Drosophila melanogaster: one gene and its partners. The protein of the gene in region 3 interacts with the protein of the main gene of each other region in a pairwise test. Each region holds a gene or a part of one and is shown on either strand. Other genes may lie near its edges.

What was found.
Region 1: the proteins of CG2127 (region 3) and CG17666 interact in a two-hybrid assay, tested with the Drosophila melanogaster proteins (one large-scale study listed by BioGRID).
Region 2: the proteins of CG2127 (region 3) and NimC1 interact in a two-hybrid assay, tested with the Drosophila melanogaster proteins (one large-scale study listed by BioGRID).

Annotation. Positions count from the first base shown.
Region 1 is NT_037436.4:12,779,463-12,783,217, reverse strand, and holds the start of CG17666 (uncharacterized protein), read right to left. Parts: upstream 1,894-3,755; 5' UTR 1,757-1,893; coding exon 1,701-1,756; intron 1,644-1,700; coding exon 1-1,643. Other genes in the region: CG10969 (uncharacterized protein), read left to right, coding at 2,197-3,755.
Region 2 is NT_033779.5:13,974,639-13,978,393, forward strand, and holds the start of NimC1 (nimrod C1), read right to left. Parts: upstream 1,617-3,755; 5' UTR 1,559-1,616; coding exon 1,340-1,558; intron 1,242-1,339; coding exon 1-1,241. Other genes in the region: Cyp28a5 (cytochrome P450 28a5), read left to right, coding at 2,722-2,909, 3,054-3,300, 3,365-3,469, 3,557-3,755.
Region 3 is NT_033778.4:8,367,908-8,371,662, forward strand, and holds CG2127 (uncharacterized protein), read right to left. Parts: upstream 2,132-3,755; 5' UTR 2,014-2,131; coding exon 1,096-2,013; 3' UTR 437-1,095; downstream 1-436. Other genes in the region: CG8701 (uncharacterized protein), read left to right, coding at 3,345-3,755.

The DNA of each region.
Region 1 (3,755 bases), on a different chromosome or scaffold from region 3:
TCACATTTTCTTCCGGTGGACAATCAGATTCTTCGGAAACGTAATGAGGATAGTATTGATTGTTGGGATCGAACCGAGTGCAGCAGCATTTAGTGGATTTCTCCTTCGATGGTTTAAAGCTTGATGGAACTTTATTCGAATTTTTATCCTTTTTGGGTCCTGCCTTCGATAAGTTTGGTGCACTTGCTGCTTGCGTTCTATTCACGTCATGTCCTGGCTGAGCATAAAAAGGATTATGGTCTTGGACAAATGTGGCATTAAGTGGAGCGCATTCATTGTACGGATAATACTGATTGGATGGATCAATGCCCATGCCCACCCTCTGCTGGTCATAAAGTACGGGTTGTCGATTGGTAGGTGCTCCTACAGATTTATTACGATTTCTTGAATCGTACGATCTGTTGTTATCACGAGAACGCACTTCACCAGCGGATGCCATTGACTTGGGCGCGGACCTATGATCTACATTTCTATCTCCACCACTATTAGAATGATAATTGGTTGTGGCTCTACTGGCTTGTGGTTTTCCGGAACGACCTTCCCTCGACTCATTTCGGTGACTGAGCGACTTGGACCTCTGAGCACCTGGACTAGCATGAACATTTTCAGGAAAATTATTATTGGCATAAGCTCTGCCTGATCGATCTCCCCTAGATGGGCTTCGTTGATTTGGAGATTTAGATCTGTTGTTACCATGAGGCAGTTGCCCCTTTGATGACTCCAATTGGGGAACTGGCCTTGAATGTGTGGCTTGACTCTGCTGGTTATAGACTTCAGATCTGTTAGCACCAACATGAACTTGATTCGTTGATTGGGGAACAGTATAGCTATAATTCTGATTGTTGGGCTCACAGTTCATTGGTTGATTATTTCGGCCATAAGCTGGTGCACTTCCTCCTGAGGTAGGAGTGACTGGCATTTGATTTATTGGACGTTGTTGGAATGTTGCATCGAATGGAATATACTGACTATTGGGGGCACAGCTCATGCCTAAACCCTGTATAAATTGATTATAGGAAGGTACTTGCGCCGTTCCTTGTGGCCTTCCAGGTGGCATTTGGCGATCTCCGCATTGGTAGACTTCTCCGGTACAGGGATTAAACTTATTTGTGTACTGTGTGGGTAGACCTGCCGCTGGAATAGATCTTGGATCACCCTGACCTACCGAGGATGGTGGAGCCACTGGTAGAACTATGGGACCAGGTACACCAAAGCCTCCATATTGAGTCGGTGGCGGGATACCAAAAATCATTGGATTTCCTGTCGGTCCGTAAGTTCCATAACACGGAATAATAGTCGGTTGTCCCGGTTGGAAGCCAAAGCCTGTTCCGTAGGCTCCAGTTCTAGCTAGATCGTCTTGCGCGCAATCTTCAGGATTCTTGCATCCATTCTTACCATCTTGACATGGATTCTCACAACTCTCCGCACATGCATCCATGTTTAAACACGGATCCTTACAATTGTCCCCACAGGCTGAGCAACTTTTCGATCGTTTCCTTTTCTTTGGGCGCTCTGGCGTCTTTAGAAGAAAACTGGGCGGCACCATGTCCGAAAACTTTTGGAACTCCCCAGAAAACACGACGCGACAATTCCTCATATTAGAGGAACAAGATCGCTCACAGCAACTTGGTCGAGGACAGCACCTGCGGATGAGTATAAATGCAATTGGGTTGAGACACTAACTATATTCTTATACTTACCAGCCATTGCCATGGCAGCTTATGCACCTCCTTAAATATCGACATGGATCGCACATTTTCAACTCCTGGTTCTGTTTAAAAGTCCACCTTCACTCATGGTCAATTACGAAGAGTACACAAACATAACATCGGTAGTCAAAATCATAAAAAAGTAGAAGTAAATGGTACAATTTATATTTTTGATGTCCTAAACTAAGACTATATTGTTAAAATCATTGCATGATCAGTTGTGATAAAACAACGTTTTGAAAGTGGTGCTACCATCTTCATATATGTGTTCTTTACAGATTATAATATGATATGAATATAAGAGAAACCTTGTAAACAAAAAGACTTCCTTGGTTTATTTAACTTACTATTTATGTCGACCAAAACTCTCTTTTTAGTTTTGGTCAAAAAAATGACATTACAAAATTCTTTGTCACGCCAAAAAACAAATTTAAACGGAAGCATTGTATAACTGAGACAAAAAATTGTATTTGGGAAAAAAGAAGAAATGCCCAATGACGGAGTCAAGTCAACCAGGCCCAGTCCCTATTGGCGTCATGCGAGTCCTCCTCCGAGGAGGAACATAGCATCGGAGCAATACAGCAATCGAGTCGGACAGCAGCTGGTGCGAGCCCTGGCTCAGAGCTTACCGTCTGGACAGGAAGCCGTGCGTTCCCGATCATCCTGCCCACCAACACCTCGTCGTCGCCGGCAGGCAAGTGTCTGCAGATCGATGGGAAGTCCAGAGTTTGTGCCATTGATGTCGCACAGTAAGCCCAAGGCATCGGTTCGATTGAAGGCGGGTATGCCGGTGAAACCAGTGTTGGGAGGAGATCCACCCAATTCAAAGACTCCTGGTCAGTCTATGATGGCCTCAGCCAAACGTCGCAATGAATCCCCCACAGTGAAGGCAAAAAGCAGGGAAGAAGAGTTCAATAAGATACCAGAGCTGGTTAGTGAGGCATCCGTCGCCAAGGCCAGAGAAAAAGAGTTCGAAAAGATACCTTCCGGAGTTCCGAGTTTGACCGAAGAAAACAAGCAAACAGAAGTGAAAGACACAAATAATTCAATCCCGGAAACGCATGAGAACTTGAAACCGGAAACGAAAACCAATTTTATAATAGAGGAAGAAAAGCCCACAGAATGTATACCAGAAACGGAACCGAAGCCATCGAACTCGAAGATAATTCCCTGCTTTCGAGGAGAGTATCCCACACGACATCGTCCTGGTACTTGCCAATGGTTTCAATCCGACGTCCCCAATTGCGGAAATATCGTGACCATATGCGATGAGGAACACCAAATTATGGGTGAAGCGGAAATAGTCACCGCTTGCCAGGTTACCGAAGCACATTTCCTCAGCCTCGATTGTGAAAATGATAACATGAACAACGAACCGCCATCGATTTCGAGGTGCAATAAGTGCACGGGTTGTCCGCAGCAACAGAATGGTAATTGGTTTGGACAGCAACGATCTTGTCCTCAGCAGCAACAACCTTGCTTTCAACAGCAACAACCGTGCTTTCAACAGAAACCATCTTGCTTGCAGCAGAAACCATCTTGCTTGCAGCAGAAACCATCTTGCTTGCAGCAGCAACCATCTTGCTTCCAGCAACAGCAACGAAATTGTGGACGAAATCCACCCTGTCCCAATGTGAAACCAAAAGGATGTCTCAAGTGTCAGGAGCAGCAGCAGTCTGGCAAAGCATTTGCATACAATTTGCAGCAGTCGATGCAGCAGCAAGTTCTGCCGCAGATGCAGAATGTGTATCCTTGTCAGCAGCTTCAGCAAGTGAATACCTGTGATCAAATGGAACAACAAATGCAACAGCAAGGCATTGAGGAGAACAACTATGGCCTGACCGAAATGCTGGCCGAGGAGCTAAGAAAGCAAATGCTCGAGGCTCAGGCGCAGATTGCACAAGTGCAACTGCAGTTGAATAGCGCGTGTGGAGCCACAAGAGTGCGACAGATGCATGTGCTGTCCCAAAATGCCACTGACGTCCCACGTTGGGCGCCAGAAACTCAGTTTATTGATGTACTGGCAGAGGAACACGACGTGGGAGA
Region 2 (3,755 bases), on a different chromosome or scaffold from region 3:
CCGGCAGTGCAATTTGAGTGCGGAACCTCGCTGGTTGATGTCTGCAGTTGAGGGTCTACAGTTGATGATTGCAACTCCACAGTTGTGGTGCTGTATTCATAGGAGTCCGTCGTGGTTTGTAACTCGCATAGTCCGTTAATATTCTCATAGCCCACGTTGCACTCGCACACATTCGGTGCCACACAGTCTCCGAATTGGCAGCCTTTGCAGATCGGCTGACACATAGAAGTGACAGGATTTGTGCTATTGAGCTGATAGCCATCGTGGCATATACAAAAATTGGGTGCCACACAGTGTCCGTTGCTGCAGCCACTGTCGCAAATAGGATCGCATTCGTGATGGGAGTTGTCCTTGAAGCGATAACCCGGATCGCAGGTACAGGTTTCTGGACTGGTGCACTTGCCATGAACACAGTTTAGGCTGCATTTTGGCTCACAGACTTGATTGGGACCCATTTGATAGCCAATACTGCAAACACAAGTCTCCGGTGCAAAGCAAAAGCCGTTGGTACATCCCTTGCTGCACTTGGGTACGCACTTCTTGTCCGCCCCCGACGACTCATAGCCCGGAAAGCACTCGCATTGGTTGGGCGCCACGCAGTGTGCGTTATCCGAGCACTTTTCGCAATGCGGCTGGCAGAGATCATTTCTCATTACGTAGCCCGGCTTGCAGACACAAACGCCGGGACTCAAGCATAATCCGTTCTCCGGGCAAGTGGAGCACACGGGTCGGCAATTGGTGCCTCCGTCGTCACCGGCATATCCATTTTCACACTCGCACACACCTGGCCTCACACATCGGCTGTTTTGGCCACAATCCTTTGGGCAAATGGGCGAGCAATTGCCATTTGAATTGTTCTTGTATCCATCTGGAAAGACGGTGCCGTTTCCCACTTTCTCGTACCCAGGTTCACATTCGCATTTCCCGGGCTCCGAGCAAAAGCTATGGTGTCCACATTCCTTTTCGCAAACTGGAAGGCAATTGTCGCTGGGAGAAGTTCGTTTGTAGCCATTTTGGCAGCTACAGACTCCGGGGCGATCGCAAAACTCGTTTTTTCCACATACCGTTGGGCAAACGGGATGGCAGTCGATACCGCCGTAGCCCGCATTGCAACTGCAAGTATTGGGGGACGAGCAGAATCCATGTTGAGGACACTGTTGTCTGCAGACAGGTTTGCAGTTCTCAACGGATCCTTCGTAGCCCTCACAGCAACTGGGTCTCATTACGGTCCTGTAGGCAGTCTAGAGAACAGGAGAAAAAGCCTCTTTAAAGGAAACTTTAACTACACACTTACCAAAGCTATAAATAATAATATAAATTATGTACAAATTCGAATTACCTCATCTTCATAGACATATTGATGCCTGTACTTAGTAACCCAACCATGAAAGTATGAATACTGTTGAAACGGAACCAATTTACTTTTAAGAACCTTACGGTTATACGGAACGCTTTCCGGGTGACTGCAATCATTTAGGCCATGCCGTAAAATGGCGAAACTTGTGCCAAAGGACAATGACAGACACACAAAATGCAGTGAAAATGCAGTAAAATCCATGAGTAATGCGAGTCAATTCGTTTCCTGAAGTATATACCATATATATATTCACTATCTTAAAGCAACCAGTCTGTCCGATGAATTAAACAGAACTGGACCCTCAATTAATGTAATGTTCTTTTCTCTTGGATTTTTAATGAATTCCAGATAACGAGCACACTATATCTTCGTTTGCTTTGTACATAGGAATCTTTTAGTATTTTATAATTATTTGTATTATTAGCTTTAGGGAGACTAGTTCCGTTCCCCATTTATATTTTACTCAAAGTTTTGTATTTACCTCTTCGTCTGTATAATACTCGGTGCGGTATTTTGTCTGCCAACCACTCCAGAAAGATCTATGCTGGTATGGTATCACTCTACTCCTTTCGACATATCTCTTGTAAGTAACCACCTGCGATCGGTTACAAACATTCAAGCCGATGGGTTGAATGAAGTCGACGAGTAGCATAAAAAAACCCAGACACACCCAAAGGCATTGGATGTGTGACATTATGGAAAGAGCAGAAATCTTGTAAAATTCAGCTTTGATCTCTATGTAAATGAGTTCGGCGCAACGTTTCAAATTCAACTGAGCTGCAAATGTAAATTTATATATTTCATGTTGCTCCAAAATCAGCTACATCCGTTGAGGACTCGACAATCTAGACCTATACATATAAACCGCTTGGGATTATCTGAGCATTTGTTTATCCCAATATTGCAAGCAAAATATGTAAGACAGAAGCAAACGCTATAATGTTTCCTTCAACTACTGTATATATTTCATCAGCCATTCAAATATGCCCTAGGTTACTAAAGATACTTAAATTTATTCTAAATGGTTAATTTCATTGCGGCTAGTCGAGTTGCAACATCAAATGTTATTGCTTTTTTCTACAAAGAACAAGACCGTAAATAAATAATAATTGCTTGATATGACGATTGACGACCGCCTGCAATAATGATTAGCTCTTATCATTTATATGTTAGAACTGTTTATGGTGAAAGTGTGAGTAGTTTACTCTCCCAGAGCACTCACTCAGGTATCTCGGTGATTCCACACTGTTGAATACCTCTCCCAAATTCAATGAGCAGCTACAAATAGAGCAGAGTATCTGATTCCACAACAGACGCCGTTTAGAACTCGTCGCGCGTGGACGTAGATTTTAGAGCGATCGAAAATGGTTCTGATTACTTTGACCCTGGTTTCGTTGGTGGTGGGCCTGCTGTATGCCGTGCTGGTATGGAACTATGACTATTGGAGGAAACGGGGCGTTCCTGGTCCCAAGCCAAAGCTATTGTGCGGAAACTATCCAAACATGTTTACTATGAAGCGGCATGCAATCTACGATCTAGACGATATATACAGGTGAGTTATCCCAGCTAGAAAGGTTATATTAACTACCAAAATTCAATGGATCATCAACTGTTTCACAAAGAAACCAAGAACCATTCTTAAAACGCATTTAAAAAATTACGCTTTACTTGAATTTAATGCGATCATTTTATTCAGGCAGTATAAGAACAAGTACGATGCTGTGGGCATTTTTGGCAGCCGCTCTCCACAGCTGCTGGTGATCAATCCCGCGTTGGCGCGTCGAGTCTTTGTGTCCAACTTTAAGAACTTCCACGACAATGAGATCGCCAAGAATATTGACGAGAAAACCGATTTCATTTTCGCCAACAATCCGTTCTCGTTAACTGGCGAAAAGTGGAAAACTCGAAGGGCGGACGTAACGCCTGGTCTTACGATGGGACGGGTGAGGCAGTTCATCCAGTGGCAAGCCCGAAAAGTACTGATCCAACCAATATACATAATTACAGATAAAGACAGTCTATCCGGTGACAAACAAGGTGTGCCAAAAGTTGACCGAGTGGGTGGAGAAGCAATTGCGTCTGGGTTCTAAAGACGGCATCGATGCCAAGCACGTAAGATTCCATCTATACTATCTGTTGTACGTATTCTATGAAACCAAACCTGTTTTTTTTTTTTTTTTGCTACTTTATCGTCCACAGATGAGTCTCTGCTTCACAACAGAGATGGTCACCGATTGTGTTTTGGGTCTGGGCGCTGAAAGCTTTTCGGATAAGCCCACACCCATAATGTCGAAAATCAATGATCTCTTCAACCAGCCCTGGACCTTTGTGCTGTTCTTTATACTGACTAGTTCCTTCCCATCGCTAAGTCATTTGATTAAGCTACGCTTCGTGCCAG
Region 3 (3,755 bases):
TAAATTTTGTAGACCGGAACATATAGATTGTTATGTGTGAAAGCCAAGAATGAAAATGAAAGTATTGGGAAAAACTAGTGGGGAAATGAAAATGCAGGGCTTACTAGATAGATTTAAAATTCGATCTTTCAAATACGCACATGGTTTTTGGTGATTGTCGACGGTTTGCCTACTCGATCTGTCGAATACCCATGTGGTTTTCGGATTATCGGAAAACTATTTTTTCAAAAATTAAAAAAGTAACAAGAATATGCCTTTCGGGACCAATCGGTCGCCGCCTGCAAATTAAACTCCTTAGTACATAAATGATGTTGCATTAGCAGCTTAAATATGGAATTATTAAATATCGATTCGAGTATGGAACCGAAGGCACTAGAAATTCTAATATCTTTGATGGAACCCTATTGCCCATCCAGTTAATTAAAAATCAATGATTGAAACTTTTTTAGTTCTTGTATTTCGTTCAACGTCGGTCAGTTTGACGTGGATTAAAGCTTTATAATAGGCGTCCAGGATAACTGCAAAGGTTGGACATGGACAAAACACCTAGGCTCCCAGTGCCACCAACGGGATTATGAGTACAGAGTCCTCAGTCTTATGGAATGAAAATGTGGGAGGGCCATAAGCGAGAGACATCCCCGGAGCTCCGGTATCCAAATTGCCGGGGATCAGCACTTGTCAAAGTCCCAGCAATCGCACTCCTTGGAAGGATTAGGGTCAGTCTGTTTTCGCTTGCACTCCGAGTAGCTCGGGAATGGTGTTGGGACCTTGGAGCAGTTCTTCCTCTTCGCGGAGCGCTTGCAGCTGGGCTCCGGCTTGCATTTATCCTTCGAATTGGAGTTGCACTTGGAGTCCGAGGTGCCGCCCTTGGAGCTGGCACAGCTGGCCAATCGGACGACGACTGGCATTAGGGTTTTCCCGCAGCGTTTTAACAGCATTTTGAATTTGGAAAGTGTGGATTGTGGATTGTGGATTGTGGAGTGCGAATGGAATGAATTGGCTATTTTGGAAAACTGTAATTTTGGTGGATTGTGAGTTGGAAAAGTGACCGGAATGTTGTGGCCAGATGTCGAATGACTGTGCTTTCGCCGCCGCCTACGTTTCGCCACACTTAAGGACTGCCCCCTTGCCACGGGCGATCCTTCGCCTCAGCTCCGCCCACATCTCGCAGGCCATGGGAACTCGAAGGCATAGGCACTCTGTAGGTGGTGCGTTAGTGAGCTCCTCCCGCTTGCATTCTGAGAAGCTGGGATACGGCGCCGGGCGCTTGGTACAGTCGGTAGGTCGGCGTTCTCGGTGGCAACTGGGCGGAATACGGGCGGGCTTGCAGCAGGGAAGAGTCCAGCGCGGACAGGGTGAGGAGTCCTCTGCCTTCTTGCACTCCATGGGATTAAGCATGGGCATCGTGGGACGGGCTGTGGCCACCACCGTCTTCCGCTGACGGCGGCAGGGCTTCGGACGCGGTCGCTTTGCGTGGATGCACACCTTCTTGGGCTTGATCACCAACCGGGGGCACTCGTTCCACGTCACCTGGTACTGGCGGGCCTCTTTGTCCGATATGCGGTAGTGCTGGATGTCGTACCGCACTGGCACATCGCACTTTGGCACGTACTCGCAGTCGGGTATATACCACATGGACCTCATCTTTGCTGGCAGCTTCGGCTTGTTGGACTTTTCCTTCTTGGGCTCTTCCTTCTTCTTGCGCTTACCGCCCTTGACTGCATCGCAAATGGTGCCCTTGAACCGAGCAGGACCACAGCCCTTGGAGGTCGATACCTGATCGCAATCCTTTGGCCGCCCGCAATCATCGGCGGAAGACTGACTGCTGTAGTTGCGGCGTAACAGGTGCTGCCGGAGCACACTGGAGCCAACGCAGTCGGCCGGGGTTTTGATTTGGCTCAGATTCTTGGACCAATCGACCTTGAATAGAGAACAGGCATTTACCAAAGACTCCAGGCACGGCATGCTCCGATCTACGAGGGAACGACATTTCTGACGCAACATTCGCAACATATTGAACCTTTTTACCAAATTTTGTTTTACAAAGCCGAAAATAGTCGAAAATATGTTATGTTAGGCCAAGGACTGAGTGTAGACTAACTAAAACCCGACATCCTCAGCTCGGAGTGGGCATTCACAGCATACTTTATAGGAAATTTGGAATACAAATTCTAAAAGACCTCTAGATATATCTAAGCTACACCTGTTGTACCAGTTGCAGTGCCTTTTTTTTCCCCACTTTTGTGAGGGTTCCTCTTCCTCATCTCAATTTGCTTTTCAGGGAAACGAGTATATAACTTAAGATATACATATTTTAAATATCTTAGAGAATTTATAGTAAAATCTATGAAGTTTTGCAAACTTGTGGGAATGGTATTATCGTACCCGCTACTAGTAGAGTATACTAAATACGATGAAACGTAAGTAAATGGCAGAAGGATGCATTTCCGACTCTATATACATGTTCATTCCCAATCAGGCCATGTCGGGCACTTAAAAAGGTATGCAGGTTGGATTGACCAACCAGACTCTAAAGACGTTAGCGCAGCACAAAATGGTTTTGGTAGAATTTGCCGCAGAACCTGTCTCCAAATACTTTTCGCGACCTAAGTGCTGAAGAAAATTTTATTATACTTTTTATTTTATTTTATATTATATTATTATATTTAGAGTAAATGGGTATACTAGATTCGTTTAAAAATGTATGTAACAATCAGATGGAAGCGTTTCCGGCCCCATAAAGTAATATATATACTTTAATCAGACTCAATAGCCGAGTCGGTCTGGCCATGTCCGTCTGTCCATATGAACGTCTCGATCTCAGGAACTATAAAAGCTATAAGGTTTAGCATACAGATTCTAGAGACATTGACGCAGCGGAAGTTGACCCATGTTGCTGAGTAATGGCTCTTGTTTTTATTTGGATTTCAGTTTATTTTTGACCAATTGTAAATCTATTTCGTCACAATTTTCGTACTAGCAGAATAAGTGGTATGTGATTTACGGAGAAAACGACTGTAGGGTTTTTTTTCTTTTATGTATAAATATGGAGTACTCTGCGCTAACAGAGTATTTCCTCTTTCTATATAATAATATTCTGAAAAGGATGCCTTGAAATTTACTTCGATGCGATGTAGCCATGTCGAATAACTTTGTATGCCAGTTCCTCTCGGCCTCTTCCAAAATTCACATCGGCTCCGTTGAGCTGATTGTGTATTCGGTTACAAATTTGTAGTTTGGTCATTTTTCGGTGCCGAGGGATTTTCATTTTTGTTTCGGGATTGTTGTATTTAGCGATACCTTTCTTTCCCCCCCGAGAAATTTATATCAGCCCGTATCCAGCCATGTCTATGTGGCGCAGTATTGGAACGAAAACCCAAAATCGAGTAATACCCAGCTTTGCGAGCGTGGTCTGCCATCGCGCTTTCGCAAAGGACCACAATCCATCTCCAAAGTGCAGTGACAGTTCTGGAAAGGGTTGCGGTAATTTTACCGCTTGTGGAGACCCCCGGTTCGCGAAGAAACCACCGCCGAAGAAGGAGGACGGCTTCCAGTTCCATCATCTGGTGAAGCAGCCGCCGGAGTGCTGCACCGATCCCTGCGCGGAACGGTTCCCCCCGTACGACCAATGCTACTACAAGATCTCTGACAAGGCCACGCGCAAGTACCAGGTCACCTGGGTGGAGTGTCCGCCCATAAAGATAAAGCCCAAGAAGATCTGCTGCTACGAGGCGGGAATTCGTCCGCCGATCCCA